3 linked regions of the Callithrix jacchus genome follow. The protein of the gene in region 2 purifies or fractionates together with the protein of the main gene of each other region. This does not show direct contact. Links are inferred from orthologs where the notes say so. Each region holds a gene or a part of one and is shown on either strand. Other genes may lie near its edges.

Region 1 (5,631 bases), on a different chromosome or scaffold from region 2:
TTGAACTCAGACCTGGAACAAGTAAACTCAGTGAATATTTATAGAATTCTACACCCCAGGTCCACAGAACATACATTTTTTTTAGTATCACATTATACCTATTTTGAAAGTGACCACATAAATGGAAGCAAATCACTCTTCAGCACTTGCACAGCATTTCACAGATTTAAACGAAATATTGGTTGGCTGTTTGTATTTTCTTTCCTTATTCCTTCCTGTCTCCGCTGTTAAGCACAATCATCAGCATAAAAGAGGTTTTTAATACCTATTTCTAGATTGCATTCCAGCCTGGGCAATAGAGCAAGACTCCTGTTCTCTCTCCCCCTTTTCTCTTACTCTTTCTTTCGTTCTTTAAAATAAACAAACAAAAAAATTTCTGATTGGTGATGAGTTGAAAGAGTTATTATCAGTAGGCCTGGTGTGGTGGCACATGCTTTTAATCATAGCACTTTGGGAGGCTGAAAGCAAGTGGATTGCTTGAGCTCAGGAGTTTGAGACCAGTGTAGGCAACATGGTGAAACCCTGTCTCTACAAAAATGAAAAGAATTAGCTGGGCATGGGGGTGCTGCCTGTAGTCCCAGCTACTCAGGAGGCTAAGGTAGGAGGATGGCTTGAGCCTGAAAGGCAGAGGTTTCAATGAACCAATAACTCGTCAGTGCACTCCAGCCTGGGCAACAAAGCCAGACCCTGTCTCAAAAAAAAAAAAAAGTTATCAATAGAAATGAATGTCAGGGTTATTATAAGGGGTTGTGGACAACAAAGTTTTTTTTGTTGTTGTTATTTATTTTTTTTTTTTTTGAGATAGAGTTTCGCTCTTGTTACCCAGGCTGGAATGCAATGGTGCAATCTCGGCTCACTGCAACCTCCGTCTCCTGGGTTCAGGCAATTCTCCTGCCTCAGCCTCCTGAGTAGCTGGGATTACTGGCACACGCCACCATGCCCAGCTAATTTTTTCTATTTTTAGTAGAGACGGGGTTCCACCATGTTGACCAGGATGGTCTCGATCTCTTGACCTCGTGATCCACCCGCCTCGGCCTCCCAAAGTGCTGGGAGCCACCGCGCCGGGCCTCTTGTTTGTTTTTCTGAGACAGTCTTGCTCTGTCGCCTAGGCTGAAGTAGAGAGGCACATTCTTGCTCACTGCAACCTCCGCCTCCTGGGTTCAAGCGATTCACCTGCCTCAGCCTCCCGAGTAGCTGGGACTACAGGCGCGTACCACCATGCCCAGCTAATTTTTGTATTTTTAGTAGAGATGGGGTTTCACCTTTTTTTTTTGACCAGGATGGTCTTGATCTCTTGACCTCGTGATCTGCTAGCCTTGGCCTCCCAAAGTGCTGTGATTACAGGTGTCAGCCACCTCGCAACCGGCCTGCAATTGTTAATCAGTCTTAAGGTCTGTTGTGTTGATGTTAGTGCTGGAGGGTATAATGAGGCATGTCTGACCCCCACTTCCTGTCATGGCCTGAACCATGTTAAATTTAGACTGCCCTGGTCAATTTACCTCTCTGGCCTGGCCTAGGAGAAAGTCCATTCAGAATGCTTGGTGTGGTGGTAGTGGTGGTGGGGAGGGGCTTAGTTTTTTTTTTTTTTTTTTTTTTTTTGCTTACGGAGTTTAGACTGAAGCCCTTGACTCCATCTGGCATTTCCTTAGACCACATGCTGTATGTAGGGCTAAGCTCGTGAAGGTTCGTTCTCACCTACACACCAGGTTGCTCCCTTGGGAGGGGGCTTTGCTGGAATCTATCCCTTGGTGATAGCCAGTAGGATGTAAAGGAACTTGGGAATCCTACATGCCCGAGTTTAAATCCTATGTTTCCCGCGCCGCCCCACCTCCACTGCTAGGTGTGTGGCTCTGGACAAATAACTGATCGTTTTCCGTGCCTCAGTTTCCTCATCTGAAAAGTGGAGCTAGTAAAACACCTCACACAGTGGTTGCTACAAGGCTACTACGATTAAGGGAGGCTTCTCTTGCACACCTCAGGCGGAGTTTCCCTCCCCGTGGGGATGTCCAGGGGCACTTACATCCGCCACCTCTGTGCTCATCGGGCCCTCGGGGTAGAACTTAGTTAATTCCTGGCTAAAGGTTGGTCTCAAATCACAGGGAAAACCACCCAGGTGCTCCAGACATTTGCAGCGGAGGGTGGGTGCGGCTATGAGGTCGACGCTGGAGACGCGGCGAAGACGGGTGCGGAAGCTTCGCACCCCCGGAAGATTCCATCCTCCACAGAATCTTGGTCTGTAGCCACAGCCCTTCTCAATATGGCGCCGCCCCCTAGCCGCCCCGCGCCGGCCCGCCGCGTTGACGTGAGTGCGCGCGCGTGTGTCCTTCGTGCCCGCCCCTGCGCATGCGCGCTCTGCTCTGTCTTCTCTCGGCTAGAGCAGCAGCTGCGGCGGCGGGGTTTGAGTGGAGGAAGATGGCGGCTCTGGGTGGCTTGGGGTCCCGCCAGCTGTGAAGAGCCCGGAGCACGGCTATCGCGGCCTTAGGCACAGCGCCTCTGCTCTGGCCCTGTCCCTGGCTCCCTCATTACCGTCGCCACCGGAGCGAACCCGAGAGCTTGGAGCGGGCTGGGCCAGGTGAGGCCTCTCCTCCTCCCGGGGCCGCGATGGGGAGCTGGCGCCTCCTGCCCTTTATGCCCGGGGCTGGCAAGGGGCAGCGGGCGCCCCTGGTCTGGCGCAGGTCCCGCATCCCGCGCAGGGGTCGGTCTTGGTTGGGCAGGGCGCCTTGCTATCGCCGTCCTTGAGTGAGGAGGAGAGGAGGAGAGTTCCTTTCCAGCCAGCCCTTGGGTTGGGAGCGAACCCACCCTCTCTCCCCAGCAGGGTGATTCTCGTCCCCTCACCCGGGCAGTGAAGGGATGTGTGGCCCGAGCAAGGATGGCTTTAGGGTGTCAGATAATCTTTCATCGGGCCTCCGAACCTTTTACTTCTTTGCGAGAGAGGAGCCGGGAGTCGGGTGCCCATCAAAATTGGGGCTGCGGCTGGGGGCCAGCATCACTGAAGCTGCAGTTGCAGAGGGATAATTTGGAAATTGGTTTTCGTGAAATAAAATAAGCGGCCTTTCCTAGCCCCTAGCTTGTTGAGTGTTCCCCTAGAGAAATGGAAACTGCGGATCTCCTTGCTTGAGACAGCAATCCATGCTGTGACTGTGGAAGACTTCTCTTGGCGAGAATTGTGTGTGGTAAGGGAACGGTGGAGGGTGGGAACGAATTTGTAAGCGAAGAGAAAGCAATTGTGAGATCTTGATGGTCTCTGCAGGGTAACCTCAGCGCCAGTTGAATTCGTTTGAAACCTTCGGATTGTTAAGATTCAGAATAGCCAATTGCTTTGTCTGTTAAATCTCCCGACTTTTATTAGGAAAATAAAGGCTTCATTTCTTAATTGCCAGAGTCTTTGGATTTTTCTGTGGTGGGATTCTGATGGATCTAGATGAAGATCTGACGCTTTACCAGTTCTCACTTGCCGGCAGCAACATTGTAACTATGCTTGTTCCTTTTGGAGAACAACTTTTGTTGTTGTTTAAATGCTAATTGGGAGACTTTGTGTTTCTCATGTAGGGAAGTCGGTTTTGAAGCCTTGTGGCCTCTTCCTTGAGGAATGATGGCTTCATTGGACTGTGCTGTGGGGAATTGTTGAGGCAATTGCTTTTGCTTGGACACACCAAAATACCTTTTGTAACACATTGGCTTTACTTGTGCTTAAGAATGGTGACGTCATGGATTTAAAGAGAAGGAAAATTTGGAAAGTACCATCATTTACAATTGAACATTTAGAAATAAGTCTATAGCTCTTATGAACATTGGTGTTGCTGTGTTTAATTGCTAACTTTGAGTGTATTCATGTGTGTAATCTGATTGGGTGTCTTTTCTATTGTATGTTATTTTAACTATTTGCTTTTGACATGCCAATATAAATGCATTATTCAATCCACATTGATCCATGGGCATGCTGTATATCTTAAAAAGATTTTCCTTGGTGAAATGACAACTGTTTCGGTTATTATTTGACCATTTCTCTCTCTTTCTCCTTTTTTTTTTTTTTTGAGGCAGTCTCTCACTCTGTCACCCAGACTGGAGTGCAGTGGCATGATTTCGGCTCACTGCAACGTCCATCCCTTGGGTTTAAGCGATTCTCGTGCCTCAGCCTCTTGAGTAGCTGGGATTACAGGCGTGCACCACCACGCCCAGTTAATTAGTTTTTGTAATTTTAGCAGAGACGGGGTTTTACCATGTTGCCCAGGCTGATCTCAAACTCCTGGTCTCAAGCAATACCCCACCTTTGCCAGGCTTGAGCCACCGTGCCCAGCCTCCTTTTCTATTTTTAAATCAGACTTTTCCGTAGAAATTTGTCGATTTTCTTAGTGTCTTTGCTAAAGATGTAAATCTGAACTGTCAGCTTCTCTGTGGTAGAAAATTGGAGAGCTACTTTGCATATCAATTCACTAATAAAGAGTCATGAAATTAATGCAGTAAAACATCCTGGTGGCTCATCATTATGCTTCTTGGCATAATATGTTGCACTGTTATGCTAAATCATCATCACTTATTGATGCAACTGCGTGACATCCATGACATCATTTGCTCTCCAGATTTTGACTTTTGCAATTCCTTACCTTACTCAGTTACAAAAAGAACAGGATCAGAAAAAGGTAGCTTAGGATGCTTGTTCTTGTCTGGTTTCTAGAAGGGTCTTTAATAATTGCTTTATTAAGTTTAAACCCTTCAGATTCAGAACTGGATGAGTCCTACCTATTATCGAGAGCAAGCAAAGAAAATGCTAGCAAAACATGAATTTTATGAGAACACTGAGATCCCAAGGAGAAGCTATCTCAAAGATGAACAAACATGTAATTATCTTTGTGATTTCAGGATTGTTTTAGTCATCGAAGTAACTGTTTATAAAACCAGAAGCCATTTGATTAAATAAAGCCCTTCCCATGATTGTTAATGTGGGTCAAAAAAGACAGTGTTTGTGAAAGTGCTTTGTAAAATGTAAAATAAAAGGTAAATATAAAATTGATTATTCCTATTTATGAGCTACCGAATAAAGGCCCTCTGTTTGGCAGGTGTTTTGGGAAGTAGGTACTAATAACTGTAAGATAAGACAGATAAGACAGCTTTTGGTCTGAAGTTGCAGACAGTATGGCTTGGGAGGTAGACAAGGAAAGCCATTAAGTTCTGTATAGTGTAAGAAGTGCACTGAGGCTGGGCATGGTGGCTCACGTCTATAATCCCAACACTTTGGGAGGCCAAGGTGGGTGGATAACGAGGTCAAGAGATCAAGACCATCCTGGTCAACAAGGTGAAACCCTGTCTCTACTAAAAATACAAAAATTAGCTGGGCATGGTGGTGTGCGCCTGTAATCCCAGCTACTCAGGAGGCTGAGGCAGGAGAATTGCTTGAACCAGGAGGCAGAGGTTGCGGTGAGCCAAGATCGTGCTATTGTAACAACAGAGAAACTCCATCTCAAAAAAAAAGAAGCGCACTGAATCCAACCAAGAGAGCCAAGGAAGGCTTCTTGGAGCAGGGATGGCTTTACCCCAGTGTTTCCTATTATTCTACAGAGTCTGCCTTTAGTGAGTGACTTGCTTTTTATAAAAACTTTAAAAAAAAATTCTGTCATGAGTTATTTTCCCCTT
Region 2 (5,624 bases):
TCCTATAATTCCAATTCTAGAAACTTGAAGTTTCTTTCCTTCATTTCTAGCCTCAGTAACAAATCATTTTAGTTCCTGGATGAAAAAGTAACCTCAACTGTTCCTGGTATGATCAACATTCTTGTCCCTACTACTATAAGGACAGGAAATCAATCCATCAAAGTCTATAATCGAATCACTACGTGCTGACCCATTACATGTAATAAAATATGTAAAGATTTAAATAAAATTTCTTTAGTGCAATTAATTACCTATTTAGATGTTGAAAATGATGTCTTTTTTTTTTTTTTAACTATGTTTAGGGCTAACATACAAAATCCTTATACCTTAGGCTTCTTTCCTTTGTAAACAATGACCAGCAAAAATTACCTCAGATAGAATTTTTTTTTTTTTTTTTTTGGGAGACAGAGTTGCTGAGGGAGGCCGAGGCGGTAGATCAGTTTGTAGTGCAGTGGTGTGATCTCAGTTCACTGTAACCTTCACTTCCCAGGTTCAAGCTATTTTCCTGCTTCAGCCTCTCAAGTAGCTGGGATTACAGACATGCACCATCACGACCAGCTAATTTTTGTATTTTTCGTAGAGACGGGGTTTCACCATTTGGCCAGGCTAGTCTTGAACTCCTGGCCTCAAATAAGCTGCCTGCCTCTGCCTCCTAAAGTGCTGGGTTTACAGGCATGCACCACCATGCCTGGCTAATCTTTGTGTTTTCAATAAAGTTGGGGTTTCACCATGTTGGCCAGTCCGGTCAACTCCTGGCCTCACATGATCTACCCACCTTGGCCTCCCAAAGTGAGCCAATGTGCCTGGCCTCAGACAGAACATTTTAGCTCAAAGTTTATTTTCCTCTGTTCACTATTTCTACCTTCGAGTCTAGGTACAAGAGGGGAGATACCCAGGAAGAGTCAATAGTGCCTGTTGTCCACAATTCATTCTAAATGTGTCCCTGCCATCTTTAGATTGAGTAGATTTATTCTGAGAGCTGGGTATGCTTCCAGGACATCATAAAAAAACTACTCTATTTCCAACACATCAACAGATTAGATACAGAAGACCGAGTGCTCAGCATAGGCTTCTATCTCCTTGTGAAGAAGAAAATTGGTCACATCAAGATAGCCACAATCTCTGTAACCTTCTCAACTTTCTCCCATCCTCCTCCAATTACTTACAAAGATCCATAATGTGGTTCCTGCAGATGGCACAGTTATCAACCACAATATCCCAGGCCCAGAGGGCTACTGCATTCCACTGCAAAGACAAAAAGAGGGAACAATGCATTCTCCTTGTAACACACACTCTTTACGACTTCATGCTGCAGCTGCAGTTACCACCTCTTCGGCCATGGGGAACCACCAAACACAAGTTTCTGGATATTACATTATTCTTATTATATCAAAGGACAACGGTAGACTACACGTATGTTCTCCCATTCTCCAAAAGGCTGCGTATGTCAACACAGAAATTAATGAGTCATCTTTTGTTTCTTATAGTTTAAAATACTTTGGCCAGGAGCACGCCTATAATCCTAGCACTTTGGGAGGCTGAGGCGGGTGGATCACAAGGTCAAGAGATCGAGACCATCCTGGTCAACGAGGTGAAACCCTGTCTCTACTAAAAATACAAAAATTAGCTGGGCACGGTAGTGCGCACCTGATGTCCCAGCTACTCGGGAGGCTGAGGCAGAATTGCTTGAACCCAGAAGGCGGAGGTTGCAGTGAGCCGAGATCGTGCCATTGCACTCCAAGCTGGGTAACAACAGCACAACTCCATCTCAAAATAAAATAAAATAAAACAATTTAGTTAGTGGCCAGGCACAGTGGCTTGTACCTATAATCCTAGCACTTTGGGAGGCCGAGGCGAGGGGATCACCTGAGGTCAGGAATTTGAGACAAGCCTGGCCAACATGGCAAAACCTCATCTCTAGTAAAAATACAAAACTTAGCTGGGCATGGTGGCAGTTGACTATAATCCCAGCTACTCGGCAGGCCGAGGCAGAACTGCTTGAACCTCGGGGGCAGAGGTTGCAATGAGCTGACATTGGTGCCACTTTACTCCAGCCTGGGCAAAAGGGTGACTCTGCCTCAAAAAAATGAAATAAAATAATTGTCAGCCGTATCAATGTAAACAAATTAGGAACAATTTTTAACTGCCCGTTGTAGGCTTAATAAACACAAACTTGAATTACTGTGCAGGTTTTTGTGGCAGTTGCAGAAGAGCTCAAAATCTGAGTGAGTATCTGCTCTTCCAGGAAGCTCCGGAAGCATGAGCAGTGAGGTGAAAGCTAGGGAACAGAATGAACTAAGATGATCATGGGACCATAAAATGGATAATCATGGGATAAGCTGGATAATTAAGTACCCGTGTCAGTACACAGACCAAGGTCATCACTTAAATCTTAGAAGATTACTTTATAACAAATTCTAGAATTCACTAGAATTTTGTTTGATTCTTACCATAAAATAAACAGATGTTCCCAACTTTTATGTCTTGTATTGAGATAATTCCAGTAAGAGTTTAACTAAAAGTGGCATTTCAGTTATTCCACTCTGGCTTCCTCAGTTACGAATACTGCCAAACCTTCATCACTTTCAGACCCCATTCTCAGTGCCTTATAACTTCTTTCCCACTTTTCACATCACAGTTTCAACTTGGAGGAAAAGCCCCTCTTCTATTATTCTTCAATATGGCTGCTGGCTGTAACTGAGCAGCAGTGGCCACAATGAGACACCAAAAAGCACTAGGAGGGGGGATATGTCAGTGTTTAACCAGATGTTCCAGGAATATCTTCCCTATTTCAGAATCTCCATTTTGAACAGCTTTCATGTTAGGTGGGAATCGACACTGTCCCCCAAACTGTGGCAAACCACTAAAAGGCATTTCATATAAAAAGACACGTTCCATTTTTGCTTTTCCACTCTTACCAAGTCATTCACGACTAGTACTCAACCCTCCCTAAATGCCACAGGATTTGGGCTCGGATTTTCTTAACAAATGCCACCATGCTTTTTATTTTTATTTTGGAAGGGGGAGATTCTGGACGTGACAGAGAACCCAGGACTGAGATGGTTATGTGAAAAGACAACAGACGTCTCAGAAGAGCCAAGCACTACACTCCAGACTCTTTAGACGGTGTGAGGCCCAGAGATGGGGTTAATGGAGGCCTCGGTTCGGCGAGCACCAAGTCTGGATTCCTCAAAGTGAGAGGACCCCAAGCTTCAAAAAGGGGCGGGGCAAGATCACCAGCGGGGTCCCTCAGAGGCCTCCAATGCAGTACGACCTCAGATTGTTCCCAGCTTTCGCCGCACTGCCCCATCCTCCACCGCCGCAGTCACTCCGACTCCCCATTTCACCCACCCTACCCCACCCTGTCCTTCCCCCACCTCGACCACTCCAGTGACAGCTCAAGCGCTTGGCTCCTGCCGCCAAATCGCAACCCCGCGTATCTCAATAAGCAGCTCCGTGATTGGCCCCTCAGCCTCACAGCGAAACCAACACGTCCCTGACAGTGGGCCACCGTCACGCCGATCAACTCTAAGACCCGCCCCCCGGCTTCCTTTCGTGGTACCCGGTCCCAGGAACGCCCTGAAATGAAACCCTTTACTCCGCGCCTCGACCATCCTGGGGCCTGCCAGCCAGATCCGCGCCTCTCTAGCTTCCCTGAGGAAGGTGCTGGCGAGACCCAACCTTTTTCACTTCAAAGCGCTTCTTGCCCGCGCCGCTGTTGGTGCCGCTCGGGGTATCCACATCCATCGCTGCCGCCATTTTGGAAATACAAGATCTGTCGTCCGACCACCGCGCCTGCGCAACTGTGCACGCCTCACTCCCCCGCCTCCCGGCACCTCCTCCCACACCCCACCCCTTATTGGCGCGCGAGAGGCAGGTGGGGGCGGAGCACGTCACCACGCCTCTTAAAGGGGCTGGCGCAGATTGCCCCACCCGCGTCGTGTCGGCCGGTGGGGGCGGTGGCGGGAGTGGCTGGGGCGGGGCCGAGGCTACGTGAGCTAGCCTGGTGGAAATGTTCGAAAGGGTTTGCTCTCGCCGCCTCTTCTGGGAAGCCCCCGACCACACTCCGTCAGCTGGGGCGGCGGCTGTTTCCTCCGCATGAGCACGACCTGCGCCGCAGCCCTACCCGGCTTGTCGGGCTCTCCGGGTCGCCGCGCAGCTCCCAGTGCGGGCTGGGGAAGGCGCGGGGGTGGGTACCCGCCGCCTACCCCAGAACCCGAGAGCCCTCGCTGGTCTTTCGCAGACTCTGACCCGCCTCGTAGCCAGGCCCGAGGTGCAGTCCTCCTGAGAGGGCTGGAGCGCAGGCACCGTCTGGTCTCCGATTTCTGTTTGGGAACTGCTCGGGGATTCGATGGGAAGAAGGGAGACCTCAGAAGGCCCTCCTCAAGGCCAGACTGAGCAGGCCCCCAGCCCTGCCCTCACCCGCCCGCGAAGCCTGGGGGGTGGCCTCTGCGCCCGCCTAGTCGCAGTCCTAGGACCGCCTTTGGTTGGGGTGCCCGGCTTCACTATAGCGTGTCAGTCCCCACTCCCCCTTCCTCAGTTGTCATCTGCGTGGGGTGATTTCTTCCCGGTCCGTGTCCTCTGTCTGCTGCTTGAGCTATAATGAAACCAACCCACTTGAAGTCACTGTATTTCTTGAATTTTGTGAGGCATTCTGATCTTTTTTTTTTTTTAATGGAGACAATGTCTCACTATGTTGCCCTGGCTGGCCTCGAACTCTTGGTCTCAGGCGATCCTCACACTTCGGCCTCCCACAGTGAGTACTCACAGGAGTACGCCACCACGCCCGGCACAAGCACCTGTACTTCGTGTCACTCTCCCATTTCTGCCTAGACCAGGACTCCCTTTGACATCTCTAACCTTGCAGAGGTGTGACTGCCAGATCACTCTTAGAGGCATGGTGGCACATGCCTGTAATCTCAGCACTTTGGGAGGCTGAGGCGGGTGGATGGATCACATGAGGTCAGGAGTTCGAGACCAGCCTGGCCAACATGGCAAAACCCCATCTCTACAAAAAATAGAAAAATTAGCCAGGTGTGGTGGCATGCGCCTGTAGTGCCAGCTACTCAGGAGGCTGAGGCAGGAGAATCGCTTGAACTCGGGAGGCAGAGGTTGCAGTGAGCCGAGGTAGTGCCAGTGCACTCCAGCCTGGTGAGAGAGCGAGACTCCATCTCAAAATAATAATAATAATAACAGTGAAAGAATTGCGATTTGTTTCCCTTTTAGTCATAAACAGGAACAGCAGATCCTGGAAAACACCACCACAGCTTTAACCAGACTTGAAAAATTGTTTGAGACCTTAAAGAGCTATAGGAAGCCTACAGAGTTTTTCTTAGCCCAAGTTTTAATGATTTTATGTGAAAATATCTGTCATTAATGTATTGTGTGCCTACAGGTCCTGATGGGAATACCAGAAACACATTGTAAATTAAGGCATTGAAGACATATTTATCCATCATTCAATAAAAGTATTGATATGTGCCAGGTTCTATTTGAAACAGGAGAGCCATAGTAAGAGTCAGATAAACCCCTAGTTAGGGAACAATACACAAGTCAACACATAAATACATCAAGAAGTCTCAGAGCCGGGCAAGCTGGCTCATGCCTCTAATCCCAGCACTTTG
Region 3 (5,493 bases), on a different chromosome or scaffold from region 2:
TTCTTGCCGTCACAACCTCCTAAACTAAGATTTTTTTTTTGAGATGAAGTCTTGCACTGTTGCCTGGGCTGGAGTGCAATGGTGTGATCTCAGCTCACTGTAACTACCACCTCGATTCTCTTGCCTCAGCCTCCTGAGTAGCTGAGATCATAGGCGCCCACCACCACGCCCAGATAATTTTTTGTATTTTTAGTAGAAACAGGGTTTCACTATGTTGGCCAGGCTAGTCTCAAACTCCTGACCTCATGATCCGCCCGTCTTGGCCTCCCAAAGTGCTGGGATTACAGGCATGAACCACTGTGACTGGCCCACCATCCCAATCTTACTAAAAGCTTTCTCTTTGGGTGGCCTGCTGGAGCCCCTCCATGGGGAAGTCCCCAGCTCTGCCCCACCCCAAATAGACCCCCAGCAGTGTCCCACCACTGTGTGCCACTCACCTGCACAGGAGGCACGCCGCTGTTGCTCTGCCGGAACTCGCCCTCGTCCCCAGCGCTGATCTCCTCATAATCATCCAGCATCCGTACTCGCATCCCTGGCTGCAGTGTGTCCCGCACATACAAGGCATAGGTATTGCCACTTGCAAACTCAGAACGAGGGCGAAACCGTCTTGATCTCCTGAAGGAGGGCTGAGCCTGGGCGGTGGGGAGCCCTGGGCTCACAGCTGTCAGCTGAGGCTGGAAGATGGAACCAGGGAACCGTGCAGAGCTCCTTGGTTTGTCTGAGGCCTGGTTCCAGCGCATGGCTTGCACCAGCTCTGAGATCAGGGTGCCCATGGCCATACTGAACTCCAGCTCCAGTTGACCCCTCTCCCCACTCAACTCCTCAGGAGCAGAGGTGTTCTGGGTTCCTGCCTCCACAGCACTGTCGTTCAGCTGATCCAGAAGTGAGGTGACATGCAAATACCGCTTCACCAGGGAGAAGAGCACCCTTCCTGGGACCTGTGGGATACAATCTTTGGTCTACATCCATCTTGTCCCATTTTAAGCCCCTCTCTCCACACCATCCTCTGTAGACAGGTGCAAAGACTCAGTCCCTAGATCTGGTTCACAAGCTCCCCCCACCTTACACCCCAAAGGTTACCTGTGGTAGCTGAATGCCCTCGAAAGACATGGGATGTTCAGAGAGCGTGGCCTGTGCAAACAGTGCTAGCAGAGCACAGCGGCTATCAAAATCCAGGTGTTTCTCAATGGCTTCTTGTTGGCTCAGTGACAGAAGGATCTGAGTCCGGGTCCCTGTAACCCACACCCCAATCGGTAACTTCTCCCCAACCTCACCCTTCCTAAAATCTTGGACCGTCTACTCTTTCAATCCAATCCTTTTGCCACCACACAGTGGGAAATCATTGATTTGCTTCAAAAGTTAAAATTTGCTAACTTATATACACACACACAATCTGCAATAGTCTAAATTCTTCCTTTGCATAAAAAGTAACTAATTAACATGAGATTTTTGAAGATAGGGTTTCCTCTTTTGGCAGATACCCCCCGCCCTCACCCCCATTCCCACCTCCTTTTCTTCCAACTCTAAGAGAAGGGCAACAGAATCATTTACGTACTGATGAGATTAGAGGCTCCTGCCACAGTGTCCTGTGAGTCCCTGAGCCGACCCAGCCCTTCTGCTTTCCCTTCCTCCCCACACTGCCCCTCACCAGCATCATGGGAGGACAGGGCTTGTATCATCCGGCCTGCGCTCCAGCGAATCTGATAATCGGGACTACTCAACATGTGCATGAGCAAGTCCAGGACCCTTGGGTCCTTGAACACCCCAGTGAGGGGCTCGATGCTGGCATAGGCGCTGAGCACGTGGACAGTGTGAAGTAGAGGAGCAGGAGGGATGGTGCCCACACACTCCTCCAGCTGCCGAAGGGCTCTCTGAATGAGGGACTTCACATCAGTTTCCATCTCCTCCAGTACAGATTTGTCCAGGGCCCCAACCTCCCCTGCAGACTGGGAGGGCCTGATGACCTGGCCATCCTCGCCCAGCATCTTGTGGCAGTTGGCATATATCTCATCCTTAGACATCCACAGCAGGATATGTTCAGCCTTGCAGTCCACTTGGCCAGCGACCCCGTCCCCATCATCGCCACGCCGCAGGATGAGCCAGCGGATCTGGTACTCAGGATGCCCATCATGGCCCACTCGCTGGCGGATCAGCTCATCAGGATAGGCATGTAAGCCAGGCCCCAGGGGCACCCTGAATTCCCTGTAGCGGAGTTCCCCCACCATCCTGGCACCTGGAGCACACAAGGAAGAGAGAACAGACAAGCTAGAGTAAGGAGAGGTCAGAAAAATCAGACATCCAGGAGTTAGGGAAGCAAATGGCAACAGCTGTCGGGCAGGGTGGGGTAAAGCCAGGCCCAGGAGTTGCATGCTGCACGCTGGATGGGGGCAGGCCTAAGCAGAGAACACGGGGGTTGTGTTGTGAAAGAACACAAAATTTGGGGGCTAAAAGGAAGGTCCCCAAAACCCTGCAGCCTGGAGTGGGTGGGTTTGGAATAGTGGGCAGACAGTGGGGGCAGGGCAGCCTTGGAGTTTACAAGTGAATTCCAAGACTTTGGGACAGGCAGCAACCCTGGGGGCATGTGAAGCCCAGAGGGGTAGATTTATGGGGGGCTGGGAAGGAGATCGCGAGTGTGTGTGTGGAAAAGGGTGCTGTCTCTACGATTGGAACATGGGAGTGTGAGTCGCAGAGTTAAGAGACCCGAGAAATGGTGGTTGAGGGCAAGGCGCGATGGGCTGGAGGCACCTCTGACTGGAGCAACCGGAGCAAGAGGGCTGGTGGGGGCGCTGTGAGACCCAGGGCAGGGTGCACAGGAGAACAGGCAGGGGAGGGGCGCGAGGCTTGGGGGACCGAGGTTGGAGACCCGAGAAGCCTGGAACGCGCGCTATAAGGTGGGGGAGAGGGGCTAACTCCCATAAACTAGAACCCCGAGACACGGTGGGATGCGGGGCCGAGGTCAAGTGAGCGCGAGGATCCACGGGCAAGTGGTCAGGGGAGGAGCAAGGGGCCGCAGCGGGGCTCTGGCCACCTCAGAAGTCCACCGGGGTCCTGACGCGAGGCCTGTCCTTCACAGAGCAAGGGACGCGGCACAGACGCTGACGACGAATTGGGTCCCACCTGGGCCCCGCGAGGGGATCCAGACGGAGAGATCTGAGGGGGTGTGCCTCTGCGGAACAGAACAGCAGCGCCCGCGTGGGTCGGCAGCCACTGGGGCAGGGTGGGGCCTGGTCCCTGCCAGTGACTCCGCCTGCCAAAAGCCACGGCTCATTTCCGCCAGACCCAGCGGAAAGCTAGGGGCCCTGGGAGAGCGCTGGGGCGGAGCTGCGGGTGCCACCTTGGCGACGCAGCACCTCCTTCCCTGCGCCGCCCTTTCCTCTTCCTTTTTGTCCTCCCTCCTGCCGGAAGTGCCCTCCCCGTTTCCCAAAGTCAGAACTGGAAAAGGCCTTGGACGTCACTAATTTCCATCCTCGGGCTCCATTACCTGTAAGGGAACTGGGGTGGGGGCAGACCCACAGTGTCCTGTCTTTATCTTCCGACACTTTTTACTGCTTCTCCCCACATTCTGTCTGTACCATCCCCTCCCCCGCAAAAAACAGTAACAGATAAAAACAGGAGGTGGGGCATTTTATTAGAGTACAGGGATATCAGCTTTGGGCAGCAGCAGAAGGCAGCTTCACATAACTCTTCATGGGGGGTAGTGGCCGAATCTTTCGGCCAGCCCAGCCCCCCTTGCGGTGCCATCGCCCACTGTTAGGCCTCTTGCCCAGCCAACGGTTGCGCCCTGCCTTGCCAATAACCCGTTTGTTATGATCAACGTTGGATACTCGACCTACTGTTGCTATGCACGTTTCCAGCACCTGACAGAGAAAACAGATGGAGAAGAATGTACGATGTGGGGGCAAGATTTGACAATGTTTAGAGCACAACCCTTGGGGGGCGTCTTAGACTCAATGAGAGAAGGGAGAGGAGAAAGAAAAAGCACAAGACGGGTGAAGCTAAGTGAAGGTCCTACAGGAGGAACAAGGTAGTTGAAATCGAAGAGCCGGGTGCACTGACTCACGCCAGTAATCCCAGCACTTTGGAAGGCCGAGGCTGGAGGGTAACTTGAGCCCAGTTTGAGACCAGCCCAGGCACTATAGTGAAACCCCATCTCTACAAAATAAAAACTATTAGCCGGGGCCAGGTGCAGTGGCTCACACCTGTAATCCCAGCACTTTGGGAGGCCTAGGAGGGCAGATCGCTTGAGCCAGGAGTTCAAGACCAGCCTGGCCAACATGGTAAAACCCTATCTCTATAAAAAATATGAAAATTAGCTGGATGTAGTGGCATGTGCCTGTAGTCCCAGCTACTTGGGGGGCTGAGGCAGAAGGACTGCTTGAACCCAGGAGTTTGAGGCTGCAGTGAGCTATGATTGTGCCATCGCACTCAAGCAATAGAAACCCGGTCTCAAAAAAATTAATTAGGGTTGGGCATGGTGGCTCAGCCCTGTAATCCTAGCACTTTGGGAGGCTGAGGTGAGCAGATTAAGGTCAGGAGTTTGAGACCAGCCTGGCCAACACGATGAAACCCCATCTCTACTAAAAATACAAAAATTGGCCAGGCGCGGTGGCTCATGCCTATAATCCCAGCACTTTGAGAGGCCGAGGTGGGTGGATCACCTGAGGTTGGCAATTTGAGACCAGCCTGACCAACATGGTAAAACCTTGTCTCTACTAAATATACAAAATTAGCCAGGTGTGGTGGCCCATGCCTATAATCCCAGCTACTCAGGAGGCTGAGGCAGGAGAATCACTTGAACCTGGGAGGTGGAGGTTTTGGTGAGCCGAGATCATGCTATTGCACTCCAGCCTGGGCAACAAGGGTGAAACTCCATCTCAAAATAAAATAAAATTTAAAAAATTAGCCAGATGTGGTGGTTCATGCATATAGTCCCAGCTACTTGGGAGGTTGAGGCAGGAGAATAGACTGAACCTGGGGGGGTGGAGATTGCAGTGAGCCGAGATCGCTCCACTGCACTCCAGCCTGAGCGACAGAGCAGGACTCTGTCTTGAAAAAACACAAATTAGTTATGATACCAATCTGATAAAGCACACCTGTCATGTGGCAGAAAAGGACGGACTCAGCTCAAGGCAGTTCCTTGCAACATAAACACCTGGGACCTAACCCAGACAGGAAAGTTACATTCCAAAAATTCCTCCTTTGCTGACCCCTCCCACCCATACCCATACACACCTGCATCTGCCTCTTAGAGGGCAGCTGAATAATGGCTGTGCCATTCACCTTCCGCAGTAGCACACCACACGTCCCTGAGGAAAGAAGCCAAGTTGACACCCTCCACAAAACAAGGGTGTCGAGGGTCACAGGGGACATACCACACATGCTGCCCTTGCTTTGCTCTTTAGGAGCAGATACACAAAGAAGGATACATGCTATGTTTTAAGTCAAAACACATGCACATCTTCATCCTCATGTTTCTTCTTTTTTCCTTGATTT

The links. Proteins that work in one complex are often made in the same cells at the same time.
Region 1: the proteins of RBX1 (region 2) and FBXO42 purify together in Homo sapiens (affinity purification with mass spectrometry; 4 studies listed by BioGRID and IntAct, with this or other methods). This does not show direct contact. The link is inferred for Callithrix jacchus from reciprocal best matches to the Homo sapiens genes RBX1 and FBXO42.
Region 3: the proteins of RBX1 (region 2) and CUL7 purify together in Homo sapiens (affinity purification with mass spectrometry; 9 studies listed by BioGRID and IntAct, with this or other methods). This does not show direct contact. The link is inferred for Callithrix jacchus from reciprocal best matches to the Homo sapiens genes RBX1 and CUL7.

Annotation. Positions count from the first base shown.
Region 1 is NC_133508.1:53,658,874-53,664,504, reverse strand, and holds the start of FBXO42 (F-box only protein 42), read left to right. Parts: upstream 1-2,359; 5' UTR 2,360-2,572; intron 2,573-5,631. UniProt on the Homo sapiens protein: Substrate-recognition component of some SCF (SKP1-CUL1-F-box protein)-type E3 ubiquitin ligase complex. Specifically recognizes p53/TP53, promoting its ubiquitination and degradation.
Region 2 is NC_133502.1:191,767,541-191,773,164, reverse strand, and holds the start of RBX1 (E3 ubiquitin-protein ligase RBX1), read right to left. Parts: upstream 3,781-5,624; 5' UTR 3,760-3,780; coding exon 3,682-3,759; intron 1,246-3,681; coding exon 1,167-1,245; intron 1-1,166. UniProt on the Homo sapiens protein: E3 ubiquitin ligase component of multiple cullin-RING-based E3 ubiquitin-protein ligase (CRLs) complexes which mediate the ubiquitination and subsequent proteasomal degradation of target proteins, including proteins involved in cell cycle progression, signal transduction, transcription and transcription-coupled nucleotide excision repair.
Region 3 is NC_133505.1:51,530,232-51,535,724, forward strand, and holds the start of CUL7 (cullin-7), read right to left. Parts: upstream 3,273-5,493; 5' UTR 3,269-3,272; coding exon 3,118-3,268; exon of another isoform or gene 3,029-3,117; intron 2,234-3,028; coding exon 1,556-2,233; intron 1,233-1,555; coding exon 1,081-1,232; intron 939-1,080; coding exon 438-938; intron 1-437. Other genes in the region: MRPL2 (large ribosomal subunit protein uL2m), read right to left, coding at 3,645-3,857, 5,233-5,306. UniProt on the Homo sapiens protein: Core component of the 3M and Cul7-RING(FBXW8) complexes, which mediate the ubiquitination and subsequent proteasomal degradation of target proteins. Core component of the 3M complex, a complex required to regulate microtubule dynamics and genome integrity.